Mus musculus: one gene and its partner. The protein of the gene in region 1 purifies or fractionates together with the protein of each later gene. This does not show direct contact. Links are inferred from orthologs where the notes say so. Each region holds a gene or a part of one and is shown in the gene's direction. Other genes may lie near its edges.

Region 1 (3,813 bases):
AGCACCTGCACAAACAGAAGCAGAAGCGCATTTCAGCGCAGCGCAGGCAAATCAACGAGGTGAGGCCGCAGGGGCGGCGGTAGCGGCGGCTGGCACAGGCTTAGGGCAGAGCTGGGGCGTGTGGGAGGAGTCTCAGGGTGCCAGGCGATGACACAACACAGCTGGCTGTCTATAGACAGGACCAGGTCACACATGCCTCTGCAGGACAGGAGCGTGAGTGGGAAGCTTTGGGTAGCTGAGGAATCCTGGCTCCTGCTTCGCTCTCATGCACTACGCTGTGAGGGGCCGTGTGGGGAGTGGTATGGTGGTACTCTCTGGGTGTGTGGTTTGTGTCTGGGGTAGGGCTGGTGCCCAGCTGCTTCTTGGGACAAGGTACTGCAAGGCCTTGGCTTCAGTGACTCCTGTTTAAGGAGCTGCAGGGTGCAGAGCCCGTTGTGAGTCTGTGGGCTTGCTTGTTGACCTTTCAGGATCCCCTTTTAGCTGCTGGCTAAATGTGGCTGTCCTTGTGTCCCACAGGACAATGAGCGCTGGGAGACAAACCGAATGCTCACCAGTGGGGTGGTCCATCGGCTGGAGGTGGACGAGGACTTTGAAGAGGACAATGCGGCCAAGGTGCATCTGATGGTGCACAACCTGGTGCCTCCCTTTCTGGATGGGCGCATCGTTTTCACCAAGCAGGTGAGGCCTCTGTGGCCAGAGACGGGCGGGTTAGAAAGTGCTGAAGGAGGGAGGAGGAGAGGGTTGGTACAGGCAAGTGTCGGTGCCAGAGGGTAGTGCCTGTTGTACTAGGGCCCATGCACAGCAGGCCCTCTGGTTCCTTTAGTGACCTCTCCTCCTTCTTGCAGCCGGAGCCTGTGATCCCAGTGAAGGATGCCACCTCTGACCTGGCCATTATTGCTCGGAAAGGCAGCCAGACGGTCCGCAAGCACAGGGAACAGAAAGAACGGAGAAAGGTTGGTGGTGTGCTACTAGGGCTGAGGTCCTTGGGGGCTGCTTTTTACTCCTGTAGAAAATGTCAAGACTGCATACAGTGACTGCCAGTGGCAGTCAGAGGACATACTTGCATGGATCAAGAGGCAGCCCAGGAGAATACTGTGTTCTACTCAGTTAAGCAACCATGGGGCCTGGTGTTGGGGGCTTGGAGGCATGAGGTTTGAGAAGTGTGGCTTGGTGCCTTGTGGGAATTTACTGTCTGCTGGGTAAAGCCTGCCTTCCATCAGAATAGCCTCCACGGCCTCCCGTCTTGCCAGAGGATGCAGTGATTTAACTCTTGTTTTCACCTTCAGGCTCAGCACAAACACTGGGAACTGGCAGGGACCAAACTAGGAGACATAATGGGTGTCAAAAAAGAAGAGGAGCCGGATAAAGCTATGACAGAAGACGGGAAAGTGGACTACAGGTGTGTGTGTAGTCTCGGTCAGTAGCAAGTTGGCTCCCAAGGTCCTGGCTTGTGACGGGAATCTTTGTGCATTCTGGTCCCTTCCTGAGTCCTGTCTTCTGACTTGAGCTTTCCTTGCTGTCACCACCACCGCTGATACAGTGATGGTTGTGTAGATTGAGGCTCAGGGAGGTTAAGGACTTTGCTTCAGAGCACCTAGCTAGGAAATGTTGGTCCTGACAGGCAGGGTTTCTTTTCTTGGTCAGATTTCAGCACAACACGGAAGGGAGGGCTGGCTTCCCAGGCCTTTTAGGACTCTCGGCTTGGTAGTGTCTCCGTTCATGGGGTCTGATGCAGTCGTTCAGTCACTGCTTGTCTGAGTCCCTGCATTGGCTTGGTGCTACACTCAAAATAGCCCTCCCACTGCGCATCCCCTAATGACGACGTGTCCCGTGGAACTGTCGTCTTTACCTAGTACTTCTGTGTAAAGTGTCCCAACTAAGAGGTTGGTATTGCTGGAGTCCCTTAGTTTCAGTTGTCAGGTGGCCAGGGGGACTGAGTAAAATGAGAACTAGACACTTGAAGAGCTTGGGTAAGATCTGAGGAAGGAAAGGACTCTGAGGGGGAAGGTGGGAGCAAGGGTCTTGGGATGTGTGTCCATGTATCAGACACTGATACATGGTTGTTATCTAGAAGCAAGGCAAATAGAAGTGAGCTGTTCTCATAGTTCTTTGAAAACGAGGCCTTTGCACTTGGTAGTCCTATTAAGGGAGGGAGGAATTCAGATCTATGTCCTGTGCTGTGTAGCTAGCACTTGGGAGACCCCTATAGCTGTTTGAGCCCTTTAAGTCTGGTCCTAACATTGTCCAAGATCTTCTTTCTAAATTGGTACCTGCTGGTTAATTTCAGCCCCTCTTCTGGCCACACTTTGTTTAGGATAGGCGATCTGCCCACCTAGAGTCTGATGTCTGCTCCCTATGCAGCTGTTTGATCAGGGCTCTGGACTGTGTATTATGGAGGTGGAGTCTTGTGTGATATCTGCTCCTTAGGCCCATTTAGATACAGTCTTGGATGCCCAGGCTGCTTTGGAGTCCAGGAGGTTGACTGATTCTTGTCGCAGTTGTTCACATTCTTGGGAGCAGGAAGGGCAGCTAACTTCAGCCTGAGGGACAGTGTGGGAGGTCATGTGTGCCTCTGTGTTTCCCAGGACGGAGCAGAAGTTTGCAGATCACATGAAGGAGAAAAGCGAGGCCAGCAGTGAGTTTGCCAAGAAGAAGTCGATCCTGGAGCAGAGGCAGTACCTGCCCATCTTTGCCGTGCAGCAGGAGCTGCTCACCATCATCAGGTAACGGCCCAGGCCCCGTGGCTCTCCTGTCTGTGCATTGTCTAATGGGCAAGGGAAACACTTTGCCCGTAATGGGCTGGCTGAGTGTGTGCTGCGCACAGTAAGATGACATCACTTCCTTTAGTGGTCCAGGTTCACCTTGACTGGGTCCCTGGCATCTCATGTGGAAGCCCCATAAGATGCTGGTTTCTGGTGAACCCTCTGGCCATGAATGCTTCTTGCAGAGCTAGGCTTTGCCAGAGGCAGCCAGACTTAAGGCTTCTCAGGGAATTGTCTCAAGCTTGGCTTTCCTCTCAGGCTGCTCAGTGCCTTGCTTGCTCTTCCCTGCAGAGACAACAGCATTGTGATCGTGGTCGGGGAGACAGGGAGTGGCAAGACCACTCAGCTGACCCAGTACTTGCATGAAGATGGTTACACGGACTATGGGATGATCGGGTGTACCCAGCCCCGGCGTGTGGCTGCCATGTCAGTGGCCAAGAGAGTCAGTGAAGAGATGGGGGGCAACCTTGGAGAAGAGGTGAGTGGGCGTGAGGTCTGAGCCATGTAGCCTTCTCCTGATCGCTTCTGCCATTTGTGCTGGAAGCTGTGGTCTGCTTAAGCCTGACTCCAGTCTGTGAGGGCAAACGGTAAGTAGTTAGCCTCTTGGTGAGCTCTGTCTCTGACCCCAGGTGGGCTATGCCATCCGCTTTGAGGACTGCACTTCGGAAAACACCTTGATCAAGTACATGACGGATGGGATCCTGCTGCGCGAGTCCCTCCGGGAGGCTGACCTGGACCACTACAGCGCCGTCATCATGGATGAGGCCCACGAGCGCTCCCTCAACACCGACGTGCTTTTTGGGCTGCTCCGGGAGGTAAGGCCACGGCGGGCTCTGGTTCCTCTGCGGCTCAGGTGCAGAGGATGGGTGAGGCTTCCTCGGAAGCTTCCAGGTCACCTGGTCAGCCCTGCTGGTGTCTTCACGCTGAGCTGTAGCTCCATTGCTCAGTCAGACAAAGCTACCGGCTTGCCAGCGTTAGTGTTTGCTCTGTCTGTGGACAGAGCTGAGACTGAAGTCCCAAGATCACAGGAACCCCTGCTGTCCCCTTCTCT
Region 2 (3,710 bases), on another chromosome or scaffold:
AAATGATTAGTCGCTACTCCAAGTAGACAATAATTCAAAGATTCACAGGATGTGGCTGAATTGCTGACTGTAAAGGTGTAGGCTGAGTTTTCTTAATGTAAGGAAGACGGTTCGGAGGTTATGGATACTAAATGTAAGACTGAAGATCACACTTCTCTGCATTGTAATATTTGCTAGATAATGTATTTGGTTCTTGGAAAGGCTTTGTTCATAGGTTGGACTTCATTCAGGGTTGCTTCTCAGCAAAGAAATGAGCTGGTTACTTATGTTTTAGTGTCATTTCATTTGGAGGAATTAGGAAAAAAATGAGAGTAAAAGTATTCTACATTCTCATTTTTAGTGAAAGAAAGTGAAGAGAAGGAGGTGCTTCTGAAAACTAATCTTTCTGGACGACAGAGCCCAAGTTTCAAACTTTCCTTGTCCAGTGGGACAAAGACTAACCTCACCAGCCAGTCATCCGCAACAAGCCTGCCTGGTTCTCCAGGGTCACCTGGCTCCCCGGGCTCTCCGGGCTCTCCTGGATCCGTCCCTAAGAGTACATCTCAGACGGCAGCTATTACCACAAAGGTACATGCTTGGATTGGAGTCCCCTATGCTGGCCCTTCCCTGCCATGCTTTAAGCTTACCGGAGCAGTCTTTATTCCTGGATTATCGCTTTGCTTTGCTTTGCTTTGCTTTGCTTTCTGGAACTAGCTAGCTAAATGCTATGAACTGAAGGTGAAACCTCATCACAACCACTACCTGAACTTATGTGTCCAGTGCAAATCTGTAGTCTGCCTTTGGTATTGTTTAACTTATAAATTATAGGTTCATCTTTACCTTTCTCAATTAGAACCCAGGTGAAAACTTGGGAGGGGAAGCCAGAGTTTCTGTTTATATGTGTGGACAGACATCAAAGCTGTGTGTGGAGGTCAGTTCTTCTGCCGTGTGTGTCCCAAAGATCAAGCTTAGGTCATTAGGATTGATAAAAAGTGCTGGCCCCACAGTCTCATTTCATCTGACATTGGCAGGAGATCCCTCAGGACTGAGGCTGCATCTAACGTTGAAATGAAGGCACAGGCTGAGAGCAGAGTGATAGGAATTTCCATAGCCATTCAAATTGTACTGTCATAGTTTCTGTTGAAGAATCAGGGCTAAAGGGGAAATCCAGAAGAAATATCCCATCTGCCTGCATTTTGATAGCATTTTATCTTTTATATTGAAATACATTTGAGCCAGGCATTGTACTACACACAGGTCAGTAATCATAGCTACTCTTGACACTAGGAAAGAAAGATTGCTAGAATACGGCCTGCCTGGGCCACTTAAGACCCCGGCTCAGAAGGTATACAAGAGGGCTAGGTATGTAGCAGTAGTAGATAGAGCCAGCCCTTGGCCTGAGCATGTATGAAGCCCTGGGTTCAACCCCAATACCATAAAAAAATGAATTTTATACAGGTAGTCATAAGCCATTTTAAGTAGCTTAAGAGAACCTTACAAAAATATGGAAATTTTAGAATGTCTATAAAAATTATTTTGAGCATGCTGGCATGGGGCCTATACTTTTTCTAAGTTTTACAACAGGTAATTTCAAATGTAGTGGGTTCTTTACATAATTCTTATTTCTCAACAGGGAGGACTCGTGGGTCTGGTAGATTATCCTGATGATGATGAAGATGATGATGAGGATGAAGACAAGGAAGACACACTACCAGTGTCAAAGAAAGCAAAATTTGAGTCCTAATAATAGCAACTGCCTGTGATCATCAGTACCTGTTGACAAAACTGGTTCTTTACCCCTCCCCCCTACAAAATCCACATCAAAGTGCAGTGGTCTCTTGTGAATGACTGACCCAGATCAGCACCACACTGGACTTCTGCTCATCAAGTGCCAATTCAATGGAGCAGGAGGAGGGGATGCCGTGCAGTTAGGGGAAGACATAAGCCTGTGAGCTCTCCAGCTTGGACCACACATTGCCCTTTTCTCAGGGAAGGAAATGGAAATAAAAAGCCAACAGGGCAGGGGTTTTGTCAGTGGAACTCTGGATTGACTGGTCAGTTGCTACAATCAGAACCTGCTTTCTTGGACCATGTTTGAGACTTAGAAGAATGGGTCTTTCTGCCATAGTTCCTCACTAGTAAAGAATGCCAGCAGTTTCTTTGTATAAAGAGACCTGCCTTTAAAATCATACATTCTGAACATTTTAGTCAAGCTACAACAGATTTGGAAAACCTTTGTGGGGGAGGGGCAGAATAAAGTATCTTTTTTTTTTTTTTTTTAAATCTGTTCCCTTTGCCCTTCAAACTGCAGATTTTTTTTTTCAAAGTGGGGATTTGTCCCTGCTTGATTAAAGATTGAGTGGAATTCTAGATGTGGTCATTTGTGTCATAATTTTTCTTTTTGTTTCAATTTGTTTCTGTTTTTTTTTTCTCTCCCCCTGGGTGTATGATTAGTTGTTGAATATATATATTTGGGACCATTAAAACTTTTTTGATGTAATATAGCCTAACGTGCTGGCACCTGCTTTACATGTGTAATTTGTGTTCTACATCACAGTTCTTAATTTGTTTAGAGTTTTATGAAAGATGGTATAGTTTTTATTGACAAAAGCAAAGTAATCTTACAACTATGTGCATACAAAAGCAATACTATTTTGTGACTAAATATTTTATATTAAAATTTGCATCAGCAGCTGTCTTGAGATTTCAGGGAAATAGAGTGGAATTTAAAACTTCAACAGTTTTGTTAAACTTAGAAACATGAAATTAGTATTCCAAAGAGATTCGGAAATTTCATATCTTGGAGAAATGACGGTACATTAAATCAAAATTGAGGATGGATGATTTAAAAGTAATACTTGACTTTTGAATAATAAAAAGAAAAGTGAAGAGTAAGAGAAATTGTATTAATTGTATGTTTCTTTTCTTTCTTTCTTTTTTTTTAACATATGCCCTTTGGAATACAAGTTGTAAGTGGTGGTACCTAAATAAACACCCAAGAACCATTAAGTGGTACCTTATTAAAACATTATTTTTGGGTCTGGTGACACAGCTTAATAGTAGAATGGGGTGGGACACTTTCCATTTTTCAGCTCCATTACCACCAGAAAATAATGTATTCTTAAATAGGATCTTTACTGTTAGACATACTAAAATGTTTTCAAGAAAGTAAGTGTCTGAGTTCCAAAACCTTCGCTTTTTAAAGGTGGAAAGCAGAACTTACCTTGTAGTTGTAAATGAATAAAATGTTATGCCCAGGAGAGGCCACTATGTGGTCCTAACTGCTTATCCTCAACAGAAACAGGAAATCCAGAATATACTGCAGGCGGTGGTGCATGCACTCGGGAAACTGGAGCAGGTGGATCTTTCAGCTTGAGGCACAATAAAGTATAAAAGATTTAATTCATTTCACAATAGAGCTGCTTTTTAAGACAATTACACAGCTGGAGATGGCACAGTGGTTAAAAGCACTGGCTGCTCACAAACCTCTGTAACTCCAGTCTCGGGGATCTGGTGCTTGCTGAAGGCACTGTACTTGCATGTAGTACTCATATTACATTCAGGGAAACACCCAGCCACATAAATAAAAAGATTTGTACTTTAGCCAAGCAGTTGATGGAGCACACCTTTAATCCCTGCACTGGAGGCAGGAGTCAGATCTCTCTGTAGGCCAAGATGGTCATCTGTGAGAGCAACGAGTATTTCTAACCACTGAGCCTTTCTCCAACCCG

What was found.
Region 2: the proteins of Dhx38 (region 1) and Ppp4r3a purify together in Homo sapiens (co-immunoprecipitation; 3 studies listed by BioGRID and IntAct, with this or other methods). This does not show direct contact. The link is inferred for Mus musculus from reciprocal best matches to the Homo sapiens genes DHX38 and PPP4R3A.

The regions. Positions count from the first base shown.
Region 1 is NC_000074.6:109,555,784-109,559,596, reverse strand, and holds part of Dhx38 (pre-mRNA-splicing factor ATP-dependent RNA helicase PRP16), read left to right. Parts: coding exon 1-59; intron 60-516; coding exon 517-678; intron 679-845; coding exon 846-953; intron 954-1,286; coding exon 1,287-1,399; intron 1,400-2,585; coding exon 2,586-2,723; intron 2,724-3,053; coding exon 3,054-3,240; intron 3,241-3,391; coding exon 3,392-3,577; intron 3,578-3,813. UniProt on the Homo sapiens protein: Probable ATP-binding RNA helicase. Involved in pre-mRNA splicing as component of the spliceosome.
Region 2 is NC_000078.6:101,038,682-101,042,391, reverse strand, and holds the end of Ppp4r3a (serine/threonine-protein phosphatase 4 regulatory subunit 3A), read left to right. Parts: intron 1-340; coding exon 341-567; intron 568-1,612; coding exon 1,613-1,723; 3' UTR 1,724-2,983; downstream 2,984-3,710. UniProt on the Homo sapiens protein: Regulatory subunit of serine/threonine-protein phosphatase 4. May regulate the activity of PPP4C at centrosomal microtubule organizing centers.